Arabidopsis thaliana: one gene and its partner. The protein of the gene in region 2 binds, or shares a complex with, the protein of the main gene of each other region. Each region holds a gene or a part of one and is shown on either strand. Other genes may lie near its edges. The genes, in order: EYE and AT1G67930.

Region 1 (17,000 bases), on a different chromosome or scaffold from region 2:
AAACTTCTATTAAGGATGACTTCTGTTGTATATTTGTTACCTCAAATAGATTCGTGTCATTCGATCCCAACAATCCCGATTCTGTATTCTTTAAATCAGAAAGGTATATCAAACTTGAAATGGTGTACCAAAAGACAAAAATAAAATAAAATGACGCTATAGCATCTCAAGTATCGAGAAATACAATGAAAATGTAAAAGTTTTACGGGTAATACCTACCTCAACGCTTTTGACCTCTTAACAAATAACCGATGAAGGAGAATCGGTAAGGTCTCAAACTCTTAGAATAGCTGTGATCCGGTAGAAAGACAAATTTTATCCATAAATTTTAACAAGGAAGTTCCAAAAGACAACACATGCTTATGAAACCAAAGGGGGTATCACATTGTCTACCTCATTAATTTGCAAAGTTCCTGGCCCCAAGACATAGTGACAACACCTTATCTCAAACTAGTACTGGCAAATGGTGCTTCTCAACACCCTTTCGTGACCAGACCTTCCACGAGGGTCTCAAACTAGTATTGGCGAATGGGGCTTCTCGACACCCTTCTGTGACCAGACCTTCCATGAGGAGATCGTGACCTGCTTCGATCTCGGTCCTCTCTCCCACTCCTCGATCTCCTGTCATAAGGCTTTCTATAATCTCTACCACGGTCTCTGTGTCTGTCACCATCTCTGTTTCGGTCTCGATCACGATATCTTTCTCTATCACTAGAACCACTCCTCTTACTCTCGCTTTCCTTCTCCCTTGGTTTCCTCTTATCATCTGCTTCTTTTCCTCTTACTAGTCTTTCTTCTTCCTTTCCTTTATCTTTAGCAGCCTAGAATAGAAAAAGTAAACAAAGCATCACTATCCCCATTTTATAAGGAATGACAGCTCAAATGAAACAAGATTCAAGTATTAGTTCTGAGACTTACTTTTTGTTCAGCAATAAAATCCCGAACCAAGCCATAGCCAACATGTTGCTTTCCAGTGACATGAGACTGTGTTCTTTCTACTGCATCATTAGCCACAAGAAATGAACCACAAACCTCACACAATGCCATCTTCTTCTCCTGAGCCATCGCGAGTACCTTGTCAGTTGGTCGTTGTAACAACACTGTCTTCTCAGCATTTAGCCCTTCCACCTACCAGAGTTTCCAAATGATAAGCACTCAATGTACTAAATTTATGATCATAATAAAGGTGACACATAAGGTATAACTGCAAATACGGAGGAATCAAGCAGAACACCATATTTCAAGTTTCAGTATGATTTGTTAAGACTTCAAAAGTCTTCTTTTTTTAGAGAATGGTAAACAAATAGTACCTTCCTCATTAGCGCTTCAGCTTCATCCACTTTGCCTTCTTCACCAAGTGCTTCCACTTGTTCCAAAAGGTTCTTAACTTTCTCCTCCAAGACAGACAATTGTTCAGCTTTCTCTGCTGATAGAGAAGGTGGTGGAACCGGTTCAACTTCTTGTGCAAGACGTTCTCGCCCACGCCTAACTTTCCTATCAAGATCATTCACCTGTAACCAATTCCAAATCTTAGCATAGAGAAGAATCAAACTCTAAAGAAAAGAAAAAAAAAAGTATGACAAGCATTACACACCAACTTCTCGCAAAACTGTGCAAGCTCAGCCTCGAATTTAGGCACATAGGAATCATGCCTCGGAGAGTTCTCGAAGCTGAAACAGAAATAATCAAAACTCATTCACATAAATGCGTAAAATGACATTCTAAGGTAAGCTTAGTCTTAACCTCTACAGATAAACATGCAAGATAGCCACATCTCACACGAATCGATTCAGATTTGTAACAAATCAAATAAATATAATGAAGAAGATCTCAATAAAGCGTAACCTTTCTTTCAACTTTGGATCATGAATTCTCGAGCATGCTCCTGAAAACAACAATGAAGCTTAAGATAAGCTAAAGAAAAGCATCATACAAAAAAGCAAGTAGATACAAATAGTGAGACTAACCAAGATCGCTTTTCGTGTTAACAAAGAGGTCATGAGGACAAAATCGAACCATATAGAATGCACATACTTCTCTATCGTCCCACTTAACCTCCTTGAACCCTCTTCTCTCTTCGTCTGTCAGATTACGAGCTGCAAACAAAATCGAGAGCAATTTCAACAAAAATTCGCTCAATTCTTAACATGGATACAGAAATTAAAGCTTTGGAGAGCTCAATTTCGAGGATTAAATTGAAAATAGATTTTGGTACTCGATTATTCTCACCTGCGCCCATTAGTTCGTCCAACAGAGCTCGCTGAGCATCCATGGCGGGCTAAGAAGAAATTGAAACTTAATCCAGAGAGAGATAAAGGAAATTGCAGAATCAAATTGAAGAAATTTTGAAGAGGATGACGAACAAAAGTGGAGAAGTGATGATTAGGGTTTCGTTCGCCACGACGAATAAAAGGCGTTCGTCTATGGTAAAACTCTATGATTGCAAAATAAAAAATAAAAAACTCTATTCCCTATATAAATAATGAATAATCATATCAAGAAAAAGTTGAACTAAAAAATAATATCACGAAAAAACAAAACACTTAACGAAATTAAATTTTTAATAAATTCATAGACATAAGGCAATCACAAATTTAAGTTTTATTATTTTAGAAAACAAAAATATTGATTTATATTATAGGGGAAAGAAAAATATTGATCGCTAAATACATTTATTTCAGATATTAGAACAGATACTAGCGAATAAAAATCAGAAACGGGCAATCCGAATAGTAAAAAACACAACCTGAATTATTTTTGATACCTATTGATTTGAATGGTGGCTGCGTTTTGCGGTGCAGGAGAAGTGCGGTGCGGTTCAAATAGTAACGAAAATATATAGATACATATGTATATGTAAAGATTTTGATACTGTTACAGCACTGTTGCGGTACGGTTTTGGGTGCGGTCTATGTCACCATTAATGGCCATAACGAAATGAAAATTTCATGTTACGAGATGGAATTCAGATTGGGTTAAATTCATGTAGCCATAAAAAAATTGTATGAAAATGTAGCCAAATTTACTTTTCAAGTATTCATTAATTAAGCTAAGAGTTGACTTTGGCAAAATAAATAAATATTCACTAATTTGACTGAAGATAGGTTACAAAATGAATTCATAAAACATTTGTAGTTAAATTCACTTTTCAAACTATCACTAATTTGGATAAAGGTTGATTTTGAAACGCGTAAAAGTTAACTAGTTTGGCTAAGAATTGACTTCGGAATAAAAGTTCACGAAATTCAACCCGTCTTAAAATGGACATGCCTACTAATCATCACCCGTCCTAAACTTTGTGACTATGGGAACGTTTTGTTTTGAATATTATAGTGACTTCAAAACGTTTCCATAATCGTATAGACTTTACTAGCTAGAAAAATCAATGTACTAAAGACTTGTCAAACAAACCCTTAATTAAATGTACTAAAGACGTACGGAGAATGCTCTGTTCCAATGACTTAGTATTTGTGTGAAAACAAGAACAAGATACATTACTCGTTTTAACTCTTATTTCACATATGTATACGTGATCACCTTGCATTCCCTAAAACAAAGAGCCATTGGAACGTCTCTAAACCTTTAGCAAGGACCAATGAGTATTTTGATGTGTTCTTTACATAGTTGCATACACCAAAAGAGAACATGCATTCCAAATAAAAATGATATTAGCAAAAAAAAAAAAAACATGTTTAAGCTTTGTGACACATAAATCATACAGTAGCAGCAAGAACCTTGACGCGATAACATAGTGAATCCTTGTTCTTCATCATGCGCGAGTTGTTTAACGAAGCCTTGTTCATCTCTGGTTTTTTAACACATCCCTAGATTGTAAGAAGGGCTTATTATCTTTGCTTTTCATATTGTAGAAGGTGAGATGCTTACCTTTACCGTTGAATTCAGCTGAATTCAAAGGCCATTTAGAGCCTTCGTTTTGCATCTCACACAAAATAAGAAATCTTTTTACCATTCAAGGGTAAACTAGTAAACTTATATAAATAAATAAATCACATTGAAATTGTAAAGCCACAATTGTTTTGAAACAGAGAGAGATGATATGATAATCGAGCTACAGAAACACTTAAATCCCTTATATCATGATTTAGCAATTTATCACCAGCCAAAAGTAAACAACTTGAGCTTGACGAAACCAATGAAGAACATGGCTTCGTTAAACAACTTGCGTATGACGAAACCAATGAAGAACATGGCTTCGTTAAACAACTTGCGCATGATGAAGAACAAGGAGGATTCGTTAAACAACTTGAGCTTGACGAAACCAATGAAAAACAAGGCTCCGTTAAACAACTTGCGCATGACGAAACCAGTGAAGAACAAGGCTTCGTTAAAAAACTTACGCATGAAGAACAAGGATTCGTTAAACAAGTTGCGCACGAAACCAATGAAGAGCAAGGCTTCGTTAGCGAATCTCTGAATCTTGCCGGTCCTGACAAGAGGAGGGAAAAACAACCAACCAGCAGTCACAACGACAAACCCCATAACCATCACTTGTAATATCAAACACGGGCAAAATTCAAACCCTATCCACCGCGCAATCTTCTTCTTTAACCTGGCGTCGTACGCCACAATGCAAACCCCATGTAACACGAAGAACAGAGTAACCTCTCCAGTAGGCCGCTCACGAGTTATATAGAAGAAGAGAAACTCGTGAAGTGCACCGGAGACAAGGAATGTGACAAAAACTCCCAAGTACAGAGCATTCTCGGAGTTCATTTTCCCTTCAGTGATTCGCCGCATCCTAGCGTAGACGTCTGGCAGGAGGATCGTCGGGAGCATGAGTGTCCACCAGTGACCCCAGAAGTCTCGAAGAGAATAGGCCAAGTATGGTTCATTCAGCTGTGGCTCGAGTTCGCAATCAAGAGCTATAGAGAAGAAAGCGTTGAAGAGCTTTAAGAGAATCTCAAGTACCAAGTATAGATGGAGTGGATAGAGAACAAATAGCACAATGGGATATATATGTTGTATGTGATTATACATATGTAACACTACACTCAAGATTACAACTTTAGTCACGAATTGGTTACTAAACAAAACTTCAATGGGGTATTCCCATTGGAAGAAATAGTCTCGGCGCTTAGGGTTTTGTTGAAGCTTGATGGGGAAGCAAGCGAAGCAGATGAATCGGGTGAGATTTGAGGGAAGTGGAAAAAGTGGGCCTTGATTGAAGGAGAAGAGTATGAGTTTGAAATTGGCGAGCCATGAGATGAAAAGCGCTGTGTAACCAGAGAGGTGAACAGAGGCGAAAAACAGAGGAAGAACACGAAACAGAGCACAAATTGGAAGAACAGAGAGAAATCTAAAGATACCAGGTTTGATTCTGGTTGGTACGTAGTAACAGTAAGATATGGAGATTATTACAGAAACCGAAACCTTGATCAAGTTCTTGAGTTCTTCCTCCATCTATCCGATCTTTTTTTTTTTTTGTCTTTCTTGACTTTGTTATGACAGCTACACATTGTTAGAAGATTCGGACCAAGGAACCAGTTTTGCCTCTTCCTCTCACGCAATGTTAGTGGAAGCCATTTCATCTATGATTTGGTCTTAACTAAAACGGCTTGTCACGAGTACATTTTATTTAAGTAACAAACTATTTTCTAAACAATAAAAAACACGAAAAAACTACGTAACTAAAACATTAGACAATGCTGTAATACAATATGACAATGGACGAGCCGATTTGTTAGCAAAGTCTTATCGAAACCCAAGTAGATTTGAGACTAATCGAAACTGATACGACGCATCTTACAAACAAGATTAGCTGTAGGGCAGTCGAGTTCATTACCAGCTTCTGATTTCATCACATCTTTGAGCTCACCTCTCGGTGTAGCCAAACACGTCTGAAAAGTTGCAAGAACTGGCGGAATTGGCATGGACAGAGCCGAAAGCACATTGCTCAAGTACTCAATATCTACAGAGAGTTGTTGTGCTCCTCGGTCTGAAATGTATTGGATTCCTCTCAATTGGTCCATGTACAGAGCGGTTGCTCCTTCTGCTACCTGTTGTTTTATTAAAAAAAAAACACTTAGTGGTTAAGGTCTTAGCTTATTGCGATTCGGTTTGACAAAAGCTTAAATTAGACTTACCTTGAACATCCATTCGGTTGCAAAGAATTGTGCATCCTCGTTGTTTGAATCGCCGTTGGTTGAGATGCCTTCAGCTAGAGGCTCAAGCTGCTGCGGCAAAGTAAGGAGATATTCTCCAACACTTGTAACATAAGACTGCGGGTATGAGCTGAAATTTGGTAGAGGAAAAGCAGTTTGTTCCTCGACGGAAGACCAGATTGGTAGGCGAGATACTTCCCCTAGACGTTGCCTGACTTTTGATATAAGGACGTCATAGACAAGTTCATTGACTGTGTCGGCAAATGCAGCAACTCTCTGAGACGCCAAAGGCAGTGCGTGGAATCGTGGATCTTTGGACTGCAAAAAATCAAAGGGAAAAGGGAATCGATACGCATGAAATATCAAATAGTTAATTCAGAAACTTTGTAAATCAAGCCTACAGGTTTTCACTACCTGCTCCAATAGGTTTAATAGTTTGTGAGCCTTCTCCGGAACATCAACCAACCGAATAGCTGCCACATCCATGGAAGCTCGTCCAGCCATAGACAAATCTCCAGCAGTTTGTTCACTTTTCAAATGTGATAGGTTGTGATCCAAATTTGTGCCAAATAATGAAATAGACAAGCTGGAGTTTAGTCTAGCTAGAGTTGCTCTCAAAGAGGCTTCAAAGACAGAAGACCTGCTCGTGAGACAATCAGCTACAGTAAGAATTTGAAGTGCTCCTTGAACAATGGACCATTCCTCATTTGAAGTCAAATCCATCTTGCGAGAGCTCTCCCTTTTCTCTGCACTTGCATCTTTCTTTGAGCCAACTCCATCACCTGTACCATCCACTCCACACACAACTCTCAAAGATTTGAGTGTTTCTTGAAGCATAGAGATATACTGCAACATTATGTCATCTAATGCAAGTATCAGCTCGTCTGCCTCTGACCCTCCAGTAAAGCCAATACACCTTTCAACTGCAGCTTCAAGAAGAACAACAACTTGGGGAATAGACTCTTCCATCCTACGCACTGTTTCACTGAGTTCAATTCCTTGAGCCCCAACACCACGAGTAACAGCCCCTCTCAGATCCACCACTGCAATCTCAGAGGATAAAATAGCACGTTCCATCTTCCCATACCTAAAGCATGATCAAACCTTATGTCACAAACAGCCTTGAAGAACCACGACCCAAAAAAGTTTCATCAAAAAAATGGGACAATCCATAAATACTAGAAATGGATACAAGACATGGGGGAAGAGAAGTACACAACATGAAAACTTACTTTTGCTTAAACGATTCAAAGGGTGAGTACACGGCCTTCAGCGTATCTATTAAGATCCTAAGTTCAGATTCCGCAAACAGGTGCTGAATATTTCTTGCAAAGGAACCAGTTACGTTGTGCAGTTCAATCAGAGCCTCAAGATGCTTGGTCTGAATATTAATACCCTTGGGCAAGTCTCCAGATAATAGATCCATCACACCTGTTCAAGGAAAACATCAGAATTGTCAGTATTCTCCTAAATACACAAAATACAGATATAAGTCAATTGAAGATAATCGTGCATTGTCTGGAAAATTTCCAGTGACTAAATGAAAAATGTAACAAATAAGTTGTTGTTCAAACTTCCTGCAAGTCTCTCTTGCATATTGACAGATTCATGACATCGGCCACTATGCACAAAAATTACAAACTTAACAAGAACAGCCAAAAACTTTAGCTCATGTAAAGGCAGAAAAAAGTGATACTCTTCTTACATCTATCTACCCAAACATGAGGATGGTAGAGTAGAACCACTAAAGAAGCAACGCAATCCCAATTCAGCTGGGTAAAAAGACTAGACTAAGAAGGAAACCTAATAATCAAACTGTACTGACATCATATCTAACCTTTGGCGAGTGCTTTTGTTTCAGGAACAGCATCTCCAGTTGCAAGGTTAAGACGAGAAACAAAACTAGCCCCCAGTACTCCCATGGTCTCAACCAACAGCTTTGGGACGAGAGTCATGTAGTCATCAGGGAAGGCAACCATACACCTAAACAATCATGAAAGCAAAAACGTACAACAGTGATTGATACTTAAAGCTGCAATCACCTAAAGATCTGACATACTGTCACTGGAAGGGCCCGGAAAATATATACAGTTTACTGTAAATAAAAGTAAAACATTTACCATTTCCACTCTTGCTCAAGATAGAGTAGCAACTCGTCGTAAAAGCTTGTCAGCCAACTGGCAAATGATGTCTGAGATGATGTCGACTGAAACTCATCGCCGCTAGACAACCTTTGACTTTCACTTCTCTCATTGGCAAGCTTGTTTGCCCTTTGCTTTGTGTCAAAATCTTCCCAGAGTTGTTTAATCGGCTTTAGACGGACTTTTGAATATTGCAACTCCAGAGACTTGAATCTCCCAATCCGGATGAGAATTACTCGCAAATCTTGGGCGACATCAACCTGCCAAATTTGGGGAAAGGCTTTTCAGTCCAATAATGGCAACAGAGACATTACAACCTAAAGTAGTTGGGTTCTCTAGATATACAGGTTCCAACCTTGTGATATGTTAATGCATCAGTAAGACGTGGCTGCACCATCGCCTCCAGCCTATCTTCCAATACCTCTAGTTGCTTTCTCACATTAGCAAATTCTGCAACCTGTTGACAAAAATTGGACTTTAAGTGGTGACGGAAAAAGACTTAAATCCTCAGAGTACTGAAGCTGACATAAAACTACCTCTCCAACAGCAGACAGGCAATTTCGCATGCTAGCAAGAGTTTCTGCAGCACGAGGAAGATCGCCACTAGCAAATACATCCTCAACCGTCGAGCTTAACTGAGTTAACCCTGCAGCATCCTGTACATATACCAAAAAGAAGAGAATCAATTGCAGATCTACCCCCAAGTGTCCACATAATGGATCACAAAATCACTATGAATACTAACCTGTAGTGTTTTGTAGGCAGCCTCCATTCTCTGTTTGACATTGTCCACTCTAGCAAGCGCAGCTATACAATCTGCTGAAGAACCCTCTGCCTGCAGAGTACCGAATTCGATAAGAGCACAAGTTTCAGGAATTTGATATAATCTAATTTTCGAGAAGAGATCCAAACAAAATCTCAGGAATCAGCACAAATGCGTACCTTCTTGAGCTTCTGGAGGATTCCAGCAACAGAACCACGCAGAGACACAGCATCATCACGGAGACGCAACACGTCTCGTGTGGCACGAGGAACACGGAGGAGAGCACCACCGCTCTGCTCTTCAAGAGAAGCTCCGATCTCCTCGGAGGCAATCTGAAGCTTCATTTCCAGATCCACAAGATGTTTCTCGAGTGAATCCTGTGGGTGACGCGCCTGGCACGACGAGTTAACCCATCGCTTCGCATCGAACTTCTCATCTGAGAATGGACCTAGATCCAGCATCATCCTTGATCCGATCACCCGATTTACCTTAGATTCTCTTCAGCTTCGACGATGATGATGTTGAAGAGAAGAAGATCCTCTGATTTCGCAGATACACTGAAGAAGAAACTAAACCAAATCGATCTAAACCGACTTTCAAATTCGACTTTAAAACCAAACCAAAGTAAACGGAAGATAAATTTACAAATCTGGGCCCCAAAGTGATGGGCCGTCACGGAAAAAGTTTTCTTCTTTCTTTTTCTTTATTTTTCTTTATTTTACTTGGAGACCACGCAGTTCTAGAACCATCCTTAAGCGACTCTCTAGCCTCTAGCAGCTTCTTCTACTCTCTGTTCTATATAAACCTTTCTCTAACAGCTTTTTTTTCGTTCAAAGAGTATAAAAAATATCTCATCGAGCTTGAAAATAATTAATCACTTGCTAATTCTAAGCTTCTTCTCTTTCCAAAAATGGCGTCATCATCGGCTTTAGCTCTCAGGAGACTTCTCTCTTCTTCCACCGTCGCCGTCCCTCGCGCCTTAAGAGCCGTTCGTCCGGTGGCTGCTTCATCTCGCCTCTTCAATACCAACGCCGCCAGAAACTATGAAGACGGTGTCGATAGGAACCATCACTCAAACCGACATGTTTCTCGCCACGGCGGCGATTTCTTCTCACGTAAATCCATGGTTCCTCCGTCCAATTTCGCTATAGATTTTCCCAATTTGATACATGTTTAGTGATTTATGTATAGAGTACATCTAACTTTGTTTTGGAGATCTGTTGAATCTGAAAATTTGGTTGTTTTTTCAAACAGATATACTCGATCCGTTTACTCCAACGAGAAGCTTGAGCCAGATGCTGAATTTCATGGACCAGGTAAGCGAAATCCCTTTGGTATCAGCTACTCGTGGAATGGGAGCTTCTGGAGTTAGACGTGGTTGGAACGTGAAAGAGAAAGACGACGCGTTGCATCTAAGGATAGATATGCCGGGACTAAGCAGAGAGGATGTGAAATTGGCTTTGGAACAGAACACATTGGTGATTAGAGGAGAAGGGGAAACAGAGGAGGGAGAAGATGTTTCTGGAGATGGACGGAGGTTTACGAGTAGGATTGAGTTACCGGAGAAAGTATACAAGACTGATGAGATTAAGGCGGAAATGAAGAATGGTGTGTTGAAAGTGGTGATTCCAAAGATTAAAGAGGATGAGCGTAACAATATTCGTCACATAAACGTTGACTAGAGTGTTTTATTTTGGATTGTTTGAGATGGAATGGAAGTAAGTGAGTGAATTTGTGAACTTTAAGGTGTCCTTTGGTGAATCAAGGAGAATGACATTTCCCACGGTCCTATGTGTTCGGGATTTTGACTTTTTTCGTTACATCAATGATCTATGTACGTTTGACTACTTTCATATCATAGGTTCGGATTTTGTTTCCCAAATTCTTGATATCGGATTCTGGATATGAATATCGTAGCAACTATGATATAGTTGAAGTTATTTGGATATTATTTATGGAGAAAAAGAGTCTGCTAGGACGATTTTCTATCATTATACCTATGGACTATGGTGGTGTTATCAAACATGCTGGACAGAGCCATGATCAACGATACATTCGATGCTCATTCTCGATGTTCAAACTCGGTTTTATAAGGGGATGATACATCAAATTGATACCAAGTAACTGATTTTGAATGTGCTGGAAATGTTGATATAGGTCTCAGCAACCAGAAGAAGGTTGTGGGACAAGACTATTAGAGAATTTTGCTACCGTTTTTTTTTCACCTCTGTTTGGCAAAGCGCGCTCTTTATAGCTTTACTTCTTTGGAACCACTTCGGTGACCATAGAACTCGTTCGTGTCGGCATCGTCAAATTTAAGTAACTTTTTATTTACCGCATGGTTTATTATTTTGAGTTTTTTTCTTCCGCATTTTATATTCTTCATTTTTCCTTGTCCATCGAGAAAGAGAGACAAAAAGAGGACGCAATTGCCGGTGCTGAGGAGAATTTTCCAATCGCGAACTCAGGTTTTGATCCATTTCGCTCTCTGCAGAATCCACCATTATCTTCATATTTTCTTCTATTGACCTCAATCTTTCAGCTCATCTCTCTCCTTTGGTTAATTGAATTTCCCAGTTTCTTCAATTTTACTTATTTAATACATATCTCTCTCAATTGCAGTATCCTATGAACTTCGTGATCATGGTTTTGAATTTTACTTGCTTCGATTGGCCTACGTTATAAAAAAATTGAAACTTTTTAACTCAATTCTCTAACTTACATAAGCTTTTGGTTTGCTTAGCTTATGCAAAATCATGTTGATGCAGGGGACGTCATGCTAAATGAGAATCTGTGGGTTAATTCGGAGTGAGAAGGCTATAATAGTTTCTAATGGGGATAACATATTTGCACATTTCCGTGGCAACAACAGCTTTGAGCTTTGTGGGTTTACAAGTCTGGACGGAGTTGTCTCTTGATAGACTTAGAGCTGATGGGATAATCACCAAGAACATTTCTTTAGGGAATTCTGAGAATACCCTTGAGCTTCTTCTGAGTTCTCACACTACAATTGCATTGCTGGCAAGTTTTGTTCTCAATATCTACATTCTTCTTGTTCTTTCTCTCAAGGTAAGAGTGGTCTTTTACTTCCGAGGTTAAGTTTAAGCAATATTCGTCGGCTAGCTTTATTCTTACGTAGAATAGATATACATCTTTTGAATGGTTCTTTCCTTTAGATGGAATTCAATGTAAAGCTCGTAGTTTGGCTATTAGAAAATACATGAATTATAAGTTTGCACCTGCGGGTTAAGAGTTGTGGTGTAAGAACCAAGTATTTCTGACCTGAAGGATTTAAAAACTCTTGGTTTTCGATAGTTATAAGGCTTCCGTGAAACCAAATACCATGCTATTTGTTGCCTTAAGGGTCTGCACATACTTGTAGGGTAATAATAGACTAGCTGTTTTGGGAAATGTCTTTCAATCATTGTGTGAGGATCTGATAACTCTTAATATTCCCTGCAGACTCTGTTTTTTGGAGATCTATATGCCATTGAAACTAGAAAACTGGTGGAAAGGCTTGCCAATTACATCATTTACAAGGTAGTTTTTTGTACTTTGATGAAAGACAGTAGGGTGCAACGGAAACCAACCCACAATTTCTGTCACTTATATAGTTTTATGATATCTGGGATATTCTATTATCTCCTTTACTGAATATATTGCAAAAAAGGATGAAGACGAAATCCTACTTAAAATGACAAGCATTAATGGTACATGAGCATATATTTCTACCACATTATTCGATTGGATATCTGATCTGTTTGCATAAAATTAAGTTATTTGCAGATGTGTGCCATTTTCATGTTAATAACCTTCTTGGTTACTCCTGTTTTTAGGGCACTTTTCTGCCATTCGTGGTTCCACGAACAGTATTTCAGGGGGTCCTATGGACAATCTGGTTGACTGTTCTGTGTACTCTAAAGGTATGGTATACAGGTTGCATAATTGGCTTTCTTGATTTATGATCAGGAAGTGCTGATTTTTTTTTCTAGACACCCTAATGTGTAGTAAAATGTTGTGTAGATGTTTCAAGCTTTGGCTAGAGATCGGCTTGATCGATTGAATGCATCTCCTTCTTCGACTCCTTGGACATACTTTCGTGTGTATTCAGCACTGTTCATGGTTCTCTCTACTGATTTGTGCTGGTATTTCCTTAACTCTTTGGTATCATGTGAAATTTTGAGTTGCGGCTTTTTCAACCCCTTTTTTTTTTTTAATATGAGTGCACTATTTTCCTTCTTCTATTTCAAAATATGAGTGTAAAGTTTTCCTCCTAGTTTCTGTCTCTGGAACCAGATATATATTCTTAAAATAAAATAAAGTATAGTTGTATATCAGAGGAGACAAAACAAATTAACCCTAAGTCTCTGAATGGTGCACATGACTTTCATGATGCATATAGTTCTAGTGAAAGCAGTGTAATTTTCTGCTAAGATAAAACAGAGGCTTTAGTATGTTCTGAGGGTGCATATGCTGTAGTGAGCGGAGAAAATATTGTGTTCTAGAGTTCCCGTATTTATTATACTGCAGTTCAATGAGGAGAAAATAGGGAGTTTTTAATTCATACACCAGACCCTCTGGATTATCATATTCTGTTCTAGTGATTGAAGAATGAACTTGTTCGTCTCTGGATGTTAATTTTGTCGAATCTTGCAGGATAAAGCTTTCCCTTATGATATACAATACAGTTGGTTCGTCTGTCTATTTACTGTTACTTTTTGAGCCATGCGGTATAGCTTTTGAGACCTTGCAGGTACTTGAGTAAGATAGTTGTATTCATTGTTTATGTTACCCTTCTTTGTAACCGTACCTAGAAATATAGAGGGTTGATCAATCGCATAATGGATCATTTTTTTCAGGCGTTGTTGATTCACGGGTTTCAACTGCTTGATATGTGGATCAACCACTTAGCAGTCAAGAATTCAGATTGCCAGAGATCAAAGTTTTATGATTCCATGACAGCAGGTTTTGTCTTTTTCTCGGCATATGATTGTAATTATGTTTTCTGTTAGACTGCAGGCGTGCATTATTTGAAATTTTTTGTCCTGTTTGGTGTTCACATTACTAACTTGACCTCTTACCCATTGAATAGGCTCGTTATTGGAATGGAAAGGCCTCCTCAACCGAAATCTTGGTTTCTTCCTAGACATGGCTACCTTGGTAATGGCCCTCGGTCATTATTTGCACATCTGGTGGCTCCATGGAATGGCCTTCCATCTGGTGGATGCAGTTTTGTTTCTCAACATACGTGTAAGTCTGTTAATTGACTTTCTTTGTAAAAGTGCCACTCTACTGGTTTCTTAATAGGCACATACCTAATTGTTAAGTTCTTTGTGTGTTCCCGTTTGATTTTGACAGGCCTTGCTAAGTTCAATTTTGAAACGAATAAAAGGATACATCAAACTGAGAGTAGCTTTAGGTGCTCTTCATGCAGCTCTTCTTGATGCAACTTCAGAAGAGCTACGGGATTATGATGACGAATGTGCTATATGTCGGGTAAGTTTCTGCTTGATAGTTATTGGTCTCCTTACTTTTTTTAGTAGCTCACTAATCTTGGAACCATTATGAATGATAGGAACCAATGGCTAAGGCTAAAAGACTTCACTGCAACCACCTTTTTCATCTTGGCTGCCTACGATCATGGTATGCTAGCTCTGTTATGTTGGCAGCCTTGTGCTATTGCGGTTCTGTGAGAACTGTAAATCATAATGATATTTTGACTCTGGCAGGTTGGATCAAGGTTTAAATGAGGTTTACTCTTGTCCTACTTGCCGTAAGCCTCTTTTTGTTGGTAGAACTGAAAGTGAGGCGAATCCTAGCAGAGGAGAAGTCTCAAGCGATGAACACTTAGCCCGTCAATTTGAGAGACAAAACAATTCTGTGCATGCACTAACCACTGGAATGTTTCCAACTGAGACGCCAAATTTCACCGAAAGTGATCCTTGGAGGTTGGGTTCATTGTTCCATATGTTTTCTTCTTAAGTGCATTAAAGTAACAGTGTGTTCATAACAAGATCATCAACTTCCTGTGGTTTCCTATCCCTGAGCTAAAATACTATGCATTCTCTAATTTTGTCTAATTATACTTGGTTCTTTTGGGTAGCAAGTAATTGTTGGTTTTGTGAGGACCAAGCTTGTGCCCCCATTGATTTTCTTTTTAAAGACTGGCTTTCTTAAACGGGATTAGCAGTTCTCACCTTTTTCTCATGCCATATAGGAATTCAGAGGTGGATCCAAGCTGGCTGCAAACATGGTCAGATCAGGGTGTTGATGTTGTGGGTTCCTCTGCAGGCTCCAGATCCGTTGGGCTGGGGCAGGTTCAATTGATGATGAGGCATCTTGCATCTGTAGGGGAAGGTTCTGCTCAGACTACACTTGACGATGCTTCTTGGGGTCTCTGGCCAATGAATCCTTCGCAAGCATCGACTTCATCTACATATGTTCCTCCTGGTGCTGGAGGAAGAACAGGTGGTCTGCATCTAAGAACTGTCTCCCGTGCAGCAAATAACATGGCGAGTATACTAGCAATGGCCGAGACAGTAAGGGAAGTCCTCCCACATGTGCCTGATGAAATAATTTTTCAGGTAAATATTAGATGCATTTATTGGTATGTGTCTGCTTTGACAAGCAAGCTACTTGCTGGGTTGAATTGCTAGGATATTTAGTTAGTTTCCTGCATCAAATGAAAGGAAAACATTTGTATATATGAATTTGTGAAGCAAAATTTTCATTAAGAAATTAATGGGCTCAATTTTTCTGAGTTTAATGGCCATTTGTTGTCATTTGTTTGCACACGCTGGGTATTGAAGTGATGATTGATTCAATCTTCTTTCAGGACCTGCAAAGAACAAATTCTGTTTCTGTTACAGTGAACAATCTTCTCCAGATGTGAAAATTGGTTTGCCTAAAAGTAATTAGCAGTTCCATTCGATAAGATAGACGCATCAGGAAACATCCTTGTCTTTTAAGTTTGACTCACCACCACACATTTAGAAGCGTTGTCTGCTGTAAATAGGAGGCATTCTTGCAACAGACTTTGCAAGAGTAAGAGGCTCTAGAGTAGATTTTGTTCATTGCTCTTGTGGGATAAATAAAGCTCATTTAGTTGCATTGTTCAGTCTGATGTTGGAGGCTTTATTCTCTGGAGCTGGTAACCAGTCTATGGGAATGCACGTCTGAGGACTGATGCTACCTCCATTTGTATAAGAACGTGTAATTTTACAATAAAACAAAAAGCAGAATGTATTGTTATTGATCCAATAGATCTTCTCAATTGCTGAACCGTTTCCTTAAAGCTGGGTCCTGCTGTCTACTCTATACCGGTTTCTTTAGCTTGAATTTGCAGGTTTCATGGCTTCTTGGAACAGAGGAAAGACATTCTGAGGGAACATTCTTGGTCCAGATGTTGGGTTCTTGGTTCTTGAAGCTCTTTTACTTTGAACTAACATGTGTTATTTGTTTTAGAAACACGCAGGAATTGAGCAATTCAATAGGACTTTTTGAAGACAAGATGTCTCGGAGATTGTGTCAAAGCTCAAAAAGTAGTGTTAACAGTCATCGTCAACCTCCAAACCATCCTCGAGGCAGACAAAACCATTAAGGTAATTAAAACAATTGCCTTCAAAAAGTGCTTTAAGTTTTTCATATAATAATGCAATCCGAAACTAGCTTGCATTATCTTAATAGAATATTTACCGTGGTAGTCGGTAAGTTTTGGGGATTGGTCTCAAATGAGATGTGTAAGAGACAAGAAGTAGTAAATCACTCGTTTTTCACCGAGGTTTATATGTCCTTTTCCTTTTGTTGTTTCTTTCTCTCTTTTTGACTCATGTTTGGCTTTTCCCATGAGCTTTTCCAGCACATTCATCTGGATTGATTAAATAAAAAACTTGTTTATTCTGTGATTTAATTCTTACATTCAAATACTTATGCGTGAACTTGCTCTTATTATATAGTCTCCTACTACCTATTAAG
Region 2 (16,084 bases):
AAGAGGTAGACGAAAGGTTCATGAATGGGGACGGAGGAAGAACTCCGTCTCGGTTTAAGGCTTTTTGTGCAATCCCTGGCCGTCCTAAGAAGATGTTTAGCAAGCTCTTGTCCATCAACAGAAACTCAAGCGACAAAAACTGTTAAAACAAAATTGTTATTTAGGTATCGTAGAGTAAAAGAAAGAAAAATGTTTAAACCTATTTACTCTCTGTATAACTTCATCTAAAAATCTCTAAGATGATAATAATATTGTTTAGAATCATATTTAGATTCATGAGACACGTGTTTGAGATCCAGAAGGTCAAAGAAAATGACCCTGAGGATTTGTTTTGTTAGAAGAACTTTGATTATTCTTTAAATTTGTAAAGAGTAAAGTCAAATCTTCTTCTCTGTCTCTGTTGGCTGCTACTGGTTTTGATTAGTATATATCCCAATTTATTCCTTGTTATGATTGGTCGTATTCATATATCGATTTAATAAATACCCAAATCAAGATCATGCTCATTAAATCACTAGGAAAGAGTTTTACGTATCTATATATTTTATCTTTTTATTTATTTTGCATTTAATTTGTAGACATGATATCTTAACAAACTTGGATTTGATGCATAATTAAGTTTACATATCATGATTCCTTTCTATAATAATGTCACCTATCACGTGGTCTCTTTCTCACTAAACAAGTTTTCAAGTTTTTCTACTAACTTCCAATTATGTTTAACAACAATTCCTAACATCAAATCATTCTTGTATAAGTCTTACCTACTCTGTCCCTATTTCACCTTGTTGAAACTTGACTTTTCTTAAAAAAAAGTTTACAAGTTTCTAGTTTTCCAACAAATCGTAAAATAGAGGTAATATTACTGTCGTTGCTATGTCACCGTATATATACCATCTAGATTCAAACTAGTATAATCCATGTTGTTGACAAAAAAATATATAGTTATCTTTGGTAAAAACTTAGATTAAGTGTTGGATTCAAAAGTTTTGAATATGAGAAAATATTAGTCTATTTTGGCATATTAGAGATAATCAGCCAAAATTTACAATTCGACTTCATTATAATTATATGGTGTTTTCACATTCCATAAAAAAAGGTGAAAAAAATAGCACCGCTCAAATTAAAGAGACACATGGGCGCTTCGTGAGAAAACTACCAACGAGAATTATCTATATATACATTGCCTCTTCCACATTTTATAACACATCCATCATTGTTTCTCTCTCAATCAATAGACTATTTCTTTATCACTTTTTGAAAAACAAATTACAAGCATTCTAAAGTTGTTTGCGCTTTGTAGTCTTTTGAATGGAGTCATGACTCATGAGTACTTTGATTGATTTGCCAATCTAGCACCAAGCCATGTCTATTTTGTAATTGTCTCTCATTAATTTGATAATCATCTGCCCTTTGAGATGACTTAAGAGACCAAGATATACATAGTCAATAACCTTTTAATATATAGTTTGGGACCATGTTGACTAAAGATTTTGATCTAATTAATTAGAGCTCTAAAATATAATTTTGACAACGATCTCTAAGATATTTCCAAAGGGCATCTTTCATATTAATCGTATATATAGTTACAAGTAAGATTCCACTTCACTCTACTCATTAATGTACTTCTAATATGTTATCGGATCATGTTTTCATATGAACAATTGTAATGCCATTGATTAACGCGTAAATTCATGCGTATTGTTGGAAAATAAAAGCCTACTCCTCCATATAATGATCAAATTACAAGTTACAACAAACATTGGTAATGTCATGGATTCATGCATGAATCTATGTAGCGGTACTAGGGGAATCCGCTGGCTTTGGTGGAGAATCCAATAGAGATGCAGCCTCGATACTCTTGGTACGTTGCAACGAAAGAGAACGGTGAATCCTACACCGGAAAGAACCAGGGTGAGTGGTTGGTGAGCAAAGGCAGTTGGTCTTGGTCATGCTTGTCTGACGAGATAGCCCACGGGAACCCACTTCCACCGCAGAATTGAAATGGCTATGAATTTCAACCTTCATGATTCCTTTGTTGTTTGTCATTTGTTGCACCTTCTCCATTTCCTGGTTTTCATTTACAAGCCATGACCATTATAATGAGTTGAAGGATTAGAAAGCATTTACGAAGGTCTTCACCAAAATAAATTTTTCCTTAATGAGGTGAATTAACTACCATGAACTGAAAAAGAACTACTAGCTATGCAAGTACTTAAAAAAAACATGCCATACATATTAGTTTTATGTTAGTTATTGCACTAAGATTTCCTCTTTACTTAGAATATAGATGTCTCCACACACAAAAAATAAAAAAAATTTCATTTTCATTTTTTAAAATTTTATCTTTCTTATAGTACTTTGCTTTTACGTTTTCGTAGAAATAAAAGTGAGATCTATTTGTGAAAGACGGAGAAAACTCAATGAGTTTTGCAAAATTAATATGATGAATTTCATATTTTACTATAAATGATGAAATAGAAAAGTTATTAGATAAGGAACGTAAATAACTAATGTACGTATCAATGGTAATCAAGAGTCATGGACATACCTCTGTATGGATGATCAAAGTTGAAGCTGAAGAGATCCAAAAGAGGTTGATACACTTTTCTAAATCCCTCTTCTTGCAAATTTATATTATCCTCTACCCTATTTTTTTTGGGGATCATCACGGATGCACTACATCAAAAGCCAACTGTATCCATTATTTTCCCATAATGTTTCTTATCCCAAAAGCCCATCATTGAGTGGTCCCCTTCCATTATTGTCTTTACTCTTTAGCGGTGTTTCTAAACCGGTGGTAGTGGTAGGACGGGGTCGGATCATGAATCGTATGGATCCCTAGATTGAATTCTTATAAGATTTAAGAGTTCTTAGAACAATCATAGAATTTGCAATACGTAAACCATGTGACCTAAACGAATTAGCTAATTCCGTACAGAAACTCTTTGAACCTATAATTACGTAGGAAAAAAGGACACATAATAACTAAAACGCATAGAGACTCTGTATAACTAATTTACTAAGGTACTGGAGTCTAGTTGGATAGAAGAATATCATAAATTTTTGCAAAACTTAGATGTTGATGTGGCAAATTAAGCATCATAATTAAAGTTGTTCGGTAAAAGAATCTCATGTATGTAAGGTACCGACCATATATATATGACCCATTAAGGTCATGTAAACTATAGCTCTAAGCTATCTTATAGTGAAAGAGTTTATGATCGATCTATAGACTTTTGGTCGTAATTGACACCCCTATTTATAAGATACAATGATGTGCTAGATTTAGTAATTTTCATATTTTAATGGTAATAGAATTGTGATTATATAAAAGTCGTCGTAGCTGTTTGATATAAGTCAGACATATTGAATTGGAACTTAGCACCTCCTATAGGGCCATTGGGCCAAAAACTGGGACAAGAACCGAGAAAACCAAAAAGACATAACGTGTAAGCTTTAAGGCCGAAACAAAGAACACACGAGTGTCAAATGTGTTTGAATAACGATTAACGACTGATTAAAGGAAATGTTTCAAAAGGATATCCACTAGAATCTTCTAGTTGACTAGCGACTTAAGTCCATCCACATGGCAGCCTTTTGGTCTCTCAACGGTCAAAAACCGACGATTTCTCCAATTTCCAGTAAAAATCTTATTAAACAAAAGGTCAAATCGAAAGATAAACGTAAGCGACTCGTCACAAATGTTTCAACGTTACCGACACGTAACCAAAACTCACCGAACACCGTCCTCCACGTTTGTTTATAAAATGAGAGATAGATAAATATAGAGAGAGTCGTCTCTTTGTATAATATATGATCTGAAAAAGAAAAAAAAACTCTTTAGCTGTTTATATTTAGAGTTGAGACTAATTCGGCGTTGCGCACCAACCTAACTTCGGTTCTACTTCACACACAAAACTCGTGTCGTCTCTTGTTATAAAGGGTCTCTTTGTTTCAGTGTCTTTGGTCTCGTGTTTGTGTAGAGATGGAGAACAAGACCGATAATGGAAACGAGGATGGTCCAATAATACATAGCCAAGTTGAGAAGATAAAGAAAGAGTTTGAGAAGATAAGACAACCGTCGCTGCAGCAACCGGAGATGAGGAGGGTTCTTAGCGAGATCAAAAGGCGTCAACGTTCACGTTCTCCTCTTGGTTTAGGGGAGAGATCTATTTCCGTTGGGAATTGATCCATGTTTGACTTTATAGTCGAGAGAGATAGATAAAAAAAAAGAGGTAGAGGTGGTTATGTGGTTCCTAATAGTTAACAGGTTTTGTTGTATATATTATGCTATATAAATACTCTTTCGTTTGAAAATGAATACGTCTCCTCTCTTTGCATAGTATGATGATGTATGAATCTCGATTTACATGATATGTATGTGAGAGATATAGTAACTACAACTGAATGAAAAATCCATGAGACAAAAAAGTTCGCAATAGAAGAATATTGATTCGGTAACAAAGCACAGCTTATAAGTTTTCTTGTGTTAAAGATGAACCAATTTGAAGCATTAGAGGATAAACTGGACTAAACTCTTTGTCCCCTCTCGATCTGATCTTCACTGCATAATCATCCAAAGTTGCTTTTATCCCTTTCCAGATCTGATCCTCTCTTTGGTTATCAAGCCACAGTGAGTACTGTTTAGGACTTAGTCTGTTCTTCTGCATCGGTGACTCTAACTCGTCTGGGCCTCTTGTGTAGAGATGATGTAGGACGATGCTCGGTGGTAGATCATTGATGAGAGGAGATGATCCCATTTGAGATGTTTCCAGGAAAACCAAAGGCCTAAACGCTCTAAGAGCTCTGTACGGTGCTCCGAGTTGTTCCACGGGAAATAGATTCTGTCCCACTGCTAGTTCCAGCTCGGCCATGTCTTTGGCCATTCTGAGTTTTCCCCATTCTGAAAGTGGTCGCACAAGGGATGCATGTCTGATGTAGAAGATCAAAACCCTTGACGCCATTTGTCTTGTGAGTCTTGTGCAGATCGATTCTGTTCCTGCAGTGTTAGCATTTGCTGCGGAAGGCAATAGTCTAGATAGGAACTCCTTGCGGAAGTGAAGAATCGATCTCTGCAACTCCTCCATGTATGAGGAAGCGTTGTTGTCCATGTCAGCGTCATCAGCACCAAAGTTTTGATCATGGATTTGAAGAATGCATGACTCGAGCTTGTCTCGCATTGCTTTAAACAAAGGTGTAACTGGCTCACATGCCGCATCATAGATTGCAGCCAGATAAGGAGACAATACATCAGTAGCAATACTGGGAAGGTCCGCTACCATGGATGAGATATGTGTGTGGATTCCTTGCAGATGCTGACATAATGTGAAGTTCCTGATCTGTGTTGAAGTCGCAGGACCTGATATCTGCCGCGTCTCAGGGCCTGTAGAAATCTGCAATATAAGTGTAGCTGTGTTACATTTCAAACATAAACGCATAAGTAGCAGAATAACTTCTTTACACTGTTAACTCTAATTATGTCAGGTAGTTAACACGTATATATTTGCATAGTAGAGGTAGATGTAGCTCTAATTCTCTTCATTTCTGTCTGGAAGAAATTATAATTGCCCCACGAATTATTACTTTGTACTCAATCTCTCCTATACAACTGTATGCAACTTTAAGAATTTCTATATAATACAAGCACAAATTGATACCATACTAAGGGAGCTATCGCACATAACAAGAGGACAATAACCAACAAGAGGTCTATCATACCTGGCACTCAGCTCGTTGAGCTAGGTTACTAAGGGCCTTGCCTATCTCACGCAAAACTAGAAGAGTCAAACGAGCATCTGGATGAACAGCCTCAATCTCATCTTGAATGTGTGATAATACCTGTGAAATCTGTTCTTTCGAAGGTAAACTCCCACGGCTCGACATAGGGAATATCGAGTTTACAAGGTCTGACAAGCGGCCAAAGCATAGGGATAAGAAAGCAGTCTGGAATATAGCAATGCATGCAACCATTTGTTCTTTCCTTTCTAAATTAATGGCAGGTAACACTCCTTTAACATCTGTATCACGAGAAATCCTTTCAAGAAGATTTTCTATCATAGACACAAGCTTCGGATATCCCATGGTGAATATTTCTTTTACAAAACTCGAAGCTGTGTATGCAGACTTCATTTGGCTAGTAAAAGCCTTCACAAGTGCATCCCAGACTCTATCGGTTAACATAGAATCGCCTTCCTGTGCATATAAACACTTCATGTAAGCAATAAAACCAATTAAAAAGTTGGAATCTAAACTAATCAACAGCCCTGACACCACAGAAACCCATCCCAAAACTTCCTTTTGATGCAAAAACATTGAAGGATCATCTACTTAAATTGTTCAAACATCATCGAGCTCGCTAAAAGTGACAAGAAACTCTGATCCTCTCAATGATCTAATGCAGCTTATTCCTCAGGACATTGACAATATCTTTAACTAACGAATAAACAAACTCAGGGAGCCTAAAATTCCAGTTAAATTCCGCACCTTGATGACTTCGTCAAGAAGAAGGACATGAGTAAATGGATCCCTCTTCTTAGACAGTACACGCTGCAAATGCCACACAGCAACTACAAGTGAACACAACTGTTCCATACAACTAGCCATCCTCTGCCACAACGCCTCCCTAACTTTAGCACCACCACCAATATGCGGTGATCCGCTAGACCTAATCCCACCAGGCCCGAAGCCACCACCTGAGCCAGAAGTAATAGCTTTCATATCCATAGCAACACTCACACTCTTCACAGCCATTCCCTTATACTTATTCACCAATTGATCCACCGTAGACTTAAGCTCTCCAAGGTTATAGAAAACTTGCAAACCAGTCCCAACTTCAGCTTGATTCAACCCTTCCATGCCTCTCTCCAACACCTTCATAGCTTCAGATCTCAATTTCTCTCCAATCTCAGTAACAAACTTGATTTCCTCATCAATCACATCAATGCCAAAGAGATCATACTCTTTACACATTGTTAAGATCTCGAAATGGAACTGTGCAGCTTTAGTGAGATCGATCTTATCTGGATCAGGAAAATCCGCTAGATCTCGAAGCTTCTTAGAGAGACGAAGCGTACGAACGGAGTGAGATAGTAACTCAGTAGCTGTATGGAGATTAGATAGCTGAACAGATTTAGATCGGATCGATTTGATCGGTTCAGAGAGGTCGGATCTGACACGGCGAATTGAAGATTGGAGTGAAGAGACGGAGGATCGGAGAGAAGAGAGAGATACATCGGCGTGTGAGAGAGAAGAGAGCTGAGCGAGCAATTCAGGGTGACGAGAGATGACGTCATTACGGAGCTGTGAATCGAGGAGGCGGATTGCTTGGTGGAGACGTTCGGCGGTGGAGGCCGGAGATCCAGAAGCGAGAGCGGCGGAGGAGAATGATGCGGAGGAGAAGGAAGATGAGAGGAATGGGGAGAGGATTGGATCGGTGGCAAAAGAATCGAGCGGCGAAGAAGAGGAAGATGACGGTGTTTGTGGTGGTGGTGCGCCGGAGGAGAGTGAAGAAGGAGGAGGGTTTTTGAAGGTGGAGAGACGTTGAAGAGATGGAGATGATGGTGAAGGAGACGATGGAGGTAGTGCCATTTTTTTACAGTTTCAATCTCTACAGGTTTTGAATTTTGCAATGGCGATTTTAGCAGGAGATCAAAGCGATACTCATTTTTCAAAGTTAATCTCTGAAACACCAAAAAAAAAAAAAAAAAACTCAAAGCGAAGTTATACGATAGTGAACCGGTCTACTTTAATTTCTGTGTCTGAATTTTGTTGGTTATCTACGAACCGGAATTATCATTTCTGGCATAGTCAAGTGATAGATGTAGTCATGTAGGGAATTTGTATCTGGATGTGAAAAAAAAAAAAAACAATTCCTCCTCTAAATCTCGTGATGTCATAAATTATGTAAATGTCAGAGATTGGTCCTAAAAGTTGGCCACTAAGTGGTGTAAGAATAATAAATTGTCAATATCAATTGACTGATTCTTATTGTTCATATACGGACACAAATCTTTTCGTTAAGTGAGTGTTTTGATCAAAAAAAGTTGAAAACTTTAAAGCCATGCCATCACTTTGGTCTAACGAATCCGATGGATCATTACGAGAGCATCTTGTGGATGTTGTTGTGTCTGGTTCAGAACCAAAGATTCGGGTACATGATCTGACCCGAGTCGCCGATGATGGATCTCGGATCTTGAAAGGAGTTACGATAGATATACCAAAAGGTATGATCGTTGGTGTGATTGGACCTAGTGGAAGTGGAAAGTCAACGTTTTTGAGATCTCTGAATCGTCTTTGGGAACCACCGGAGTCAACTGTGTTCTTGGACGGTGAAGATATAACCAACGTTGATGTTATTGCTCTTCGTCGTAGAGTTGGAATGCTTTTTCAGCTTCCTGTTCTTTTTCAAGGTAATAATCAAATTTTGGGATTTGCTTAGCCTCTAGTTTCATAGGTCTTGATAATGTGTGGTTGGTTACAGGGACTGTTGCGGATAATGTGAGATATGGTCCGAATTTGAGAGGGGAGAAACTAAGTGACGAAGAGGTTTATAAGCTGCTAAGTCTTGCAGACCTTGATGCTTCCTTTGCTAAGAAGACTGGTGCAGAGTTATCTGTGGGTCAAGCTCAACGAGTAGCACTTGCAAGGACTCTAGCCAACGAGCCTGAGGTGTTGCTGCTCGATGAACCAACAAGTGCTCTTGATCCGATATCGACAGAGAACATTGAGGATGTTATAGTGAAACTGAAGAAGCAGAGAGGGATTACTACTGTGATTGTTTCTCACAGTATCAAGCAGATTCAGAAAGTTGCTGATATCGTTTGCCTTGTTGTCGACGGAGAGATTGTTGAAGTTCTTAAACCAAGTGAGCTTTCGCACGCTACGCATCCAATGGCACAGAGGTTTCTTCAACTCAGTTCTTGAGACCATTTTCTCATTGATGGTTCCTGCAAGTTATTTGCTATTTTGCTTGAATCTTAATAATCTCTTTCAAGAGAGGAACAAATGCTGGTTGAATGTAACAACACCTTTCATGGTTTATGTCTTTTTATCTTCTCTTTAGCATACGAAAGCATATATATGAACAACAAACCTATCAAAGAATTTAGTCGAGATCCGATTGGTTTGATGAGATCTGCATCAACCGAGCTTAACAGGAACTACAGCAGGAACTTTGGGTGAAGAGGGATCAAGTGTGATGATCTCCTTTCTTCCTTCTCCTCCATTCTCAACTTTCTCTTTAACCGCCTTTGTCACTGCGCCAAACGCGTTTGAAAACCACGAAGCTCCACTTGATACATAAGGGTTTGCCATTAAAGCCGTTCTTGCACTGATTGCTGTCTCTTCAGCAGCTGCTAAAGCAGATTTCGTTATCTCCCTCACCTGATATCGCTCATCGATATCTCTCAACTTCTCATTAACCACAGTTGTTCCTATGCTTAGCTTTTCGCTCAGACCCATCTTATCGTCAAGCGATGCAATGGTTGCAGAAGCGTTTGAGATCAAGTTGTGTCTGTCATCAAATGCTTTGGCTTTCTCCATGGCGTCTTTTCCAAGAGCATAACCTCTTCCCACCATGATGTTCACCACATCTTCAGCTTTCTTGACAGAAAAACCATTAAACGAATGTTCCTGCTACACAGAGGAAACAACATGAACACCGAGAGAGTAACGAATAAATCAAAGAGTTTCCGGTCTTTACCGAGTCAAGTGCAAGGGCTTCTGGTGGTAGCTGATAGTTAACAGCAGGAGTTATACTAACACGAAGATCTGCAATGACAGCTCCCTGGAAGGAAATGTTTTTCGCTGTAAGCACTAATTCATGAAATATACGGAATGATGCATACGCGGAAAGCAAAATACCGTTAAGAGCATTGCAGTTTCAGCTCCTTGTGAATCCTTAAAAGTAACATATGCGACCTGACTCTCTTGTGTCTCACTGAGATCATTAGAGTAAACATTAGAGATATTGGTAAAGATCATCTTTAACAAGAAGATGATAATTTACAACAAGTTATTTTTCATACCTTCGCATCTCGACGTATTGAATGTCACCAGAGAAAGAAAAGAACTCTTTGACATCTTTCTTAGAAACAATTAGTGAAACATTGCTAATCTTGACAGTTTTCACCTGCACAACAATGAATCAATACAAAGCCTTTGAACAGACAGCTTTACAACAACAATACAAAGATAATCCCATAACACAGCGAAGATGAAAGTTTGAGAAATGTTGGTTGCTTACACCGGAGACAGTTGATTGGGAATCCATAAGAATGTTGTGCTGAGTTTGATCCGAATCAATGAAAGCAGCCTGTGGAGAGATCATCAATACTCAAATTTATTTTGAATTAATTCATCCAAAGCCAGAAACTTTCAATTGAGATTGATACTATGATTGAAATTAGCATCTGTGGAACAGAATCTGGATTCAAAAAAAAAAAACTCGAGAAACAAAAAAAGTTCTGTTTTTTTTTTAATAACACCGACACAGTAAAGAGAGATCTCAGACTTCATCACAGAACAAGAGAACAGTGGTTTTATCCACAAAATCGTAGCATGTAACTCCTTTCTGATTAGATCTAAAAATAGCAAAAAATATCTAAAAGCAAAGCCGAATCTAAGAACACACCAGCAAAAATGGCCGAGAATCGAGAATGCTTACCGTTACCGACATTGTCGAAGTGATTCTCTCAAGAGCGAAAAATCTCGAGTACGCGTAAAGAATAGGGATTTCAATATTTCAAGTCCTTTTGAGTCTCAAAACTGACAAGGTACGTTTTTAATTTTAAAGTGATTTACATTTCAACCTCACGAGTCAAGAGAATATGGGTCATGTGAACGAAATTGTGAAGTTCCTATTATTGTATTGTCCTATGAACAAAACAAAAAGAAGAAGAGAACAAAAAGAGTAATAGCTATTCTTTGTCTTGTGATGGCTTTTTGCCAAATGATCCATGAGGTCTCTTTCTTTGTACATATGTATATATGCCTAACCACAACAAAAATCGCTTCATCGAATATTTAAACACGTATAATAAGATCACAAAAGATGATCTTCAGCCTAATCATTGTGGAGATGGGAGGAGTTTCTTCTTCGGCATCGATTAATATACCAAGTTGCATGTTTTCTCAGTCCCATGCCGATGAGAACTTTGAGGCTTGTGAGCATTATATATGTTATGACGAATAAGATGACCATCCACAACATTCTCCATGGGAGTGGACTGTATGGCAAGTGTGCTGCGTATACTGGTGTCAGTACTCGGATCACCTGAGGTCCCAAAATATACACTCAAAATCATTCCAAGCTTCTTCTTTTTTTACTTATCACAATTGAGTTTTTAGGTCAAAAGGGAAGAGGAGGAATATACCACACAAGCAGGTGCAAGGGGAACAAAGGTGAGATTTGTCTTTCTATCTTCCGGACGAATGTTCAAAGTCTGACAATACCAGAGAAAGATATATGGATGTAAGATGACGCAGCAATGGCATTTTATAGGGCCAATGTAACAGCACAAGAGAGAGAGAGAAAGGCTGTATGATCCATACCTGCTCGCAGAGGGCTTGAAGAAACTCAGAGTACGCTATAGGTTTGATGTCATTGAACTTGGCAAGAAATGAATGCTTGATGATGTCTATCATCATCTCACAGAAGAAGACCGTAGTAGCATTCTGCAGAGTCCAAGTATATTTACTTTTAGGCAACCTGGAAAGAGGCTTGTACAAAATTTTATATCTACCAGAGAATTATGTACACTTACGTAGATGAAATTTCCAAACCATGCACCTTCAGACTCGAGAATATTTTGAGCCAAAACTGACACCAAGAAGGCCGATATGTGGAATCTCTCTATTGAATCTGGTAGAGAAATAGTAAGGGAAACAAAACATACCAATCAAAAACCAAAGCTAACAGCTGGAATTACAGTCTAACTCAGATCCCATTTTGACAGGTGATTGAAAATGTTTGAAGTACTAAGCTAATGATCAGAGCCATAGGAGGCCTAGTATTCAAGGCACAAGATTCTACAAAGGGCACGGAGTAAAAGCTTACCCGCATATACTAGACCATGAATGTTGTCCTTGCTGAAACGCTTAAAGACACTGCTCTTGATCTCAGCAAAGTTATTTGACACCAGAAGGGCCAACAAGGCATTGTTGTGAGCAACAATACAAGTTGACAACGTAATTGCCTGAGCTAATAAAATGAATGAATGGAGAAGTGAAGACAGTTAAGGACACAACAGAATAAAGATGTTGGAAGTAGTTATCAGAAATCAAACTAGCAATCACGCTGTAAGGATATTTGAGGCAGCCATAGTTAATGCTAGGTCAGAAACAAATCTCCAAGTCGAAAATCTCAGTTTCTCAGGAGGAGAAATCGACAGTCCCTTTGCAGAACTGAATAGGGCTCCAAATACATCTCCACAAAAACTTTGACAGAGTCTATCAAATATCTGGAATATAATATTTATATATGTGTCAATACCAGTTGAATAGAGAATAAGGTAAACTGGACAGAAAAGTGTGCAGCGAAAAGACAAATACAAACCAACTAAACCATGTAAGAAATACAAGGGAAAAAGCGAAATGAACATGAAAATTCATAGCAGAAATAAATTATCTAAAAAGGGTTTACTTTACCTCTAAGATATTATAAACCACATAGAGTTTTATGGTACTTTGACCACGAATCATGTGGTAAATTAGGCTGATATCTGTGGAAACAAACAAAAACACACAAGGGAACTGTTTGAGAATCCATTTTCCCATCACTTTGATGAGCTGAAAAGACAAATCCATTTTTTTAACAGAAGTGCTAAGCTTGTCCATATAATAATAAACAGATTAAGTAATGCCCTATGCAACCCATGTACCACTGCAGAGATTTTGATAGAGTAGACATGACATATATTACTAGCTTAAGCAAATGAGGAGCTTTTTACCACACCTGTTCTCCCGAGAAGAATGGTACCAGTGGCCAAAACTAGAAAACAAGCCAGATCAGACAGCTCCGATGCAGAGGGCCTCCTGAACTGCCTGCCACAAATATTATTAAGATACTTTCTAACAAAGGGAATAGCAGGATCATGTGTATAGCGAATAGTATGATCAAGGCATGTTACACTTGCTTCAAAGATGCACAATTTGGTGTGAAAGTCCAGTTTATAGCAATATATTAAGTGTGTTATTATCAACGAAGAATCTAAAAAAGACTCACCTGTTCTTAAATGCATCCATAAATATCAGCAGGACTCTTATTGGCATGACTGTCAACAATGACAGAAATGAGTTGACGCAGACAAAAAAGCCAGTATCTATAAGCTGCATTAAAATTCTTTACAATGTGAAAAACCTCTGTGTAAATCACAAAACAGAAGCATACATATATATACATTGAACTCTCATTTAGGTAGCCCTTCACAATCACATAACAGGTAGATTTCCATCGCCATCCATACAAACTTATCAGCAGAGGTACACAAATAACACACCTAGCTAAACAACAAATGTTCATTCTGTCAAAGAAGAGGAAAGCCAGTTTTACCACTTCACATCGCCATGGCAAACGGAAGATTGTATCATATATTCTTTCGCGCTCGATATCATTCCCAGGAGTCGTTGTGCTCCGTAATGAGATCCCACCATAAATTTCCTCCATAAAGTATTTCATAGGTGACCTCGTCTCAGCAGAAAGAACTGATAACAAAACATCATTGTACATAAACATTCATTATCCAAGCCTCAGACCACCACAAAAACCAATCCAAAGTAGAAAAGTTTGAAACTTACAATCAGGGTCATCAGCCACAAGCTGTTTCCAATCCAAAGAAGCTTCTGTATCTAATCTCCTAACCACATTCCCATTAATCTCACTTCTTGGAAACTGATGCTGCACTTCTTGAAACGGTGGATTCTCAGAAGGGCTTAGCTCCACACTAGTCTCCTCCATATATAACTTCTTATCAGAACTCAAAGTATCAGACCACCGCTCATCATTACTCCCATCAACACTACCATTAACATTCCTCTGCCTTAACTCACCAAAATTGAACCCATTATGATGAACAGTTTGCCCATCTAATAGAGTCACGACACAACCACCACCACTACTACCACTACCACCACCACCATAGTAATTCAATCTGTTCTCAAACATCGTTGTAGTCTCTCCAAAATCACCACTTGAACCGGTGATGATCGTTGAATGAGAATCTCCATTCTCTAGAATAGTCTCGACTTGGTTCACTTTCTTCTTCTTCTTCTTCGATCTCTTTCGTTTCCCGTAGTCTCTAGGTGATTCTGAAGCTACGTTTCCGGTAATTGGATCTGAGCTGGATCGGCGAATTGATGTATCATCATTCTCAAAGGAGCTGTTTTGGCTGAGAATCTCAAATGATAGTTTTCTTCCCGAGGATCTAATCGCCATTGGATTACGTAAACGTAAGACGAAGAAAAATGGAGAGACGAAGCGAATACATACACACAAAAATTGGATTCACGAAATCGAAAACCAGAGAGACGGAGACAGAGTAAGGAGATTTTGATTGTTGTTTGTCGAGACGCAAAACGCTGTTTTGGAAACGGCGTTTAGATGCGTGACATGCGTCGTCGTGTAACGCTATAAAAAAGTCTGACAAAGCAACCCAATTATATGCTGCCACGTGTTCTTAAAAAGCCTCTTAAATTTAAGCGATTAGTTTAGAGTGACTGAGAAAATAATTAGTCGGTTCGGTTCGGTTTAGGGATAACCGAACCGCAGTAAAACCAATCCGATAGGCCAATAAACAATGACAGAAAAATCAAGTGATTAGTTTGGTTTTGACTCGGAAACGGGTTTTATAATGCATTCGGTTATGGTTTGATTCGATTTAAAACCCACAAAATCGAACCGATATAGGAATCCTAAGAGGTTTACTATACTGGTTTGCTCTCATGGTTATTGTCAAAAAGTTTCAACCATGTTTTTGTAGTAAGCTGCTATAACACATCATTGAGAATTGCACCGGTGAAAGTAATATATCCGGTGCATACTTCGTTGTTTGTTATAGAGTTACATAACAAAAGTTTTGAGGCTGATATGTTCAAAAAATCAACTATTCATTTGAAGCCAGCAATTCCATCTGCTCTGTCAAAATCTCAAGGTTCCTAGACCTCTCAGGAGTAAGCTGTCCAAATTCAAAGTCATCTGGTTTCTCCATCTCTTCTGATATCAGCTTAAGCATATAGCTCTTGTCTAATTCCATTGTTCCATCCTCCTCCTCCTCCTCCAATGTCAAATCATCCTTTCCTTTCTTCACAATGTTCTCCTGCTTCTTCGTCTTCTTCCTTGAAGGGCTCAACAACAAAAGCTTTTCCCATGCTCCATCATCGTATAGATCAGGTATGATCAATGGCACATGGTTTTCATCTAAGCAGAACTTCAACATATCGGCGTTTCTCAAGAAATCATTTACGTCGTTCGAGTTTGACTTTGCAGTTCCATTGTTGTCCGATGGTGGCTGGTATGTTACTAAAGGAAGACCATATGAGTTTGATTCTCCTTCATCAGTCACTTCTTCCACAATCTTCGCTCCTTCCCCCGCTTTTCGCCAAGTGTTTTTCTCCTTTGGCTGAAGTAACTGAACTAAAAGACTTGGATTCTTCATAACCATAACCAAAAACGAAAGCATCTCCTGCTGACTCTCTTCCATTCCTTGAACTCTGTCTTCTAAATGTAACATCTTAGTATCCGTCACCTCCTGATACTGCCTAACTTTGATCAACTCCTGCGCCAATACCTGCTTATCACCTTTCAAAATATCAACTTCCTTCCACAATCCACTCTTTTCCTGAGCATATGTTGTACTTGTACTCTCATGTTTGCTCTGCTCACTACTTTGAACATTCTTCCTCCTGATAACATTCTTCAGCAAATCCTTTTGACCTCTCACAAACCCGTCATTCGCAAACTCCCATCGATCTGCATCAACTTTTCTAAAACCCTGTAAACAAACACATCCACGAATCAGGCACAAGTCTACTCAAAGATCCAATGAGCCAGATTTACCCTAGATCAACCAACTTATACTATCATAGA

Evidence for each region.
Region 1: AT1G67930 (region 2) and EYE share a complex: the UniProt entries of both Arabidopsis thaliana proteins name them as parts of the conserved oligomeric Golgi complex.

The regions. Positions count from the first base shown.
Region 1 is NC_003076.8:20,881,306-20,898,305, forward strand, and holds EYE (conserved oligomeric Golgi complex component-related / COG complex component-like protein), read right to left. Parts: upstream 9,703-17,000; 5' UTR 9,491-9,702; coding exon 9,206-9,490; intron 9,099-9,205; coding exon 9,009-9,098; intron 8,920-9,008; coding exon 8,800-8,919; intron 8,721-8,799; coding exon 8,619-8,720; intron 8,524-8,618; coding exon 8,243-8,523; intron 8,106-8,242; coding exon 7,960-8,105; intron 7,554-7,959; coding exon 7,355-7,553; intron 7,210-7,354; coding exon 6,537-7,209; intron 6,441-6,536; coding exon 6,105-6,440; intron 6,018-6,104; coding exon 5,739-6,017; 3' UTR 5,440-5,738; downstream 1-5,439. Other genes in the region: AT5G51410 (LUC7 N terminus domain-containing protein), read right to left, coding at 516-821, 919-1,128, 1,311-1,511, 1,595-1,670, 1,846-1,885, 1,968-2,096, 2,230-2,272; AT5G51420 (long-chain-alcohol O-fatty-acyltransferase family protein / wax synthase family protein), read right to left, coding at 4,114-5,421; AT5G51440 (HSP20-like chaperones superfamily protein), read left to right, coding at 9,937-10,141, 10,281-10,708; RIN3 (RPM1 interacting protein 3), read left to right, coding at 11,859-12,095, 12,489-12,566, 12,863-12,949, 13,050-13,171, 13,683-13,779, 13,886-13,991, 14,119-14,276, 14,385-14,522 and 4 more. UniProt on the Arabidopsis thaliana protein: Required for normal Golgi function. Necessary for embryo development and pigmentation, especially for the expansion of cells and organs, and for the formation of the organized shoot apical meristem (SAM).
Region 2 is NC_003070.9:25,469,743-25,485,826, forward strand, and holds AT1G67930 (Golgi transport complex protein-like protein), read right to left. Parts: upstream 7,804-16,084; 5' UTR 7,591-7,803; coding exon 6,487-7,590; intron 6,196-6,486; coding exon 5,722-6,195; intron 5,397-5,721; coding exon 4,476-5,396; 3' UTR 4,398-4,475; downstream 1-4,397. Other genes in the region: AT1G67900 (Phototropic-responsive NPH3 family protein), read left to right, coding at 1-146; AT1G67910 (uncharacterized protein), read right to left, coding at 1,792-2,067; AT1G67920 (uncharacterized protein), read left to right, coding at 3,989-4,192; ABCI17 (non-intrinsic ABC protein 3), read left to right, coding at 8,063-8,411, 8,483-8,925; AT1G67950 (RNA-binding (RRM/RBD/RNP motifs) family protein), read right to left, coding at 9,142-9,633, 9,704-9,787, 9,865-9,940, 10,029-10,132, 10,247-10,330; POD1 (POLLEN DEFECTIVE IN GUIDANCE-like protein), read right to left, coding at 11,066-11,275, 11,376-11,444, 11,554-11,676, 11,766-11,863, 12,059-12,226, 12,311-12,461, 12,649-12,722, 12,956-13,044 and 3 more; HSFA8 (heat shock transcription factor A8), read right to left, coding at 15,102-15,989. UniProt on the Arabidopsis thaliana protein: Required for normal Golgi function.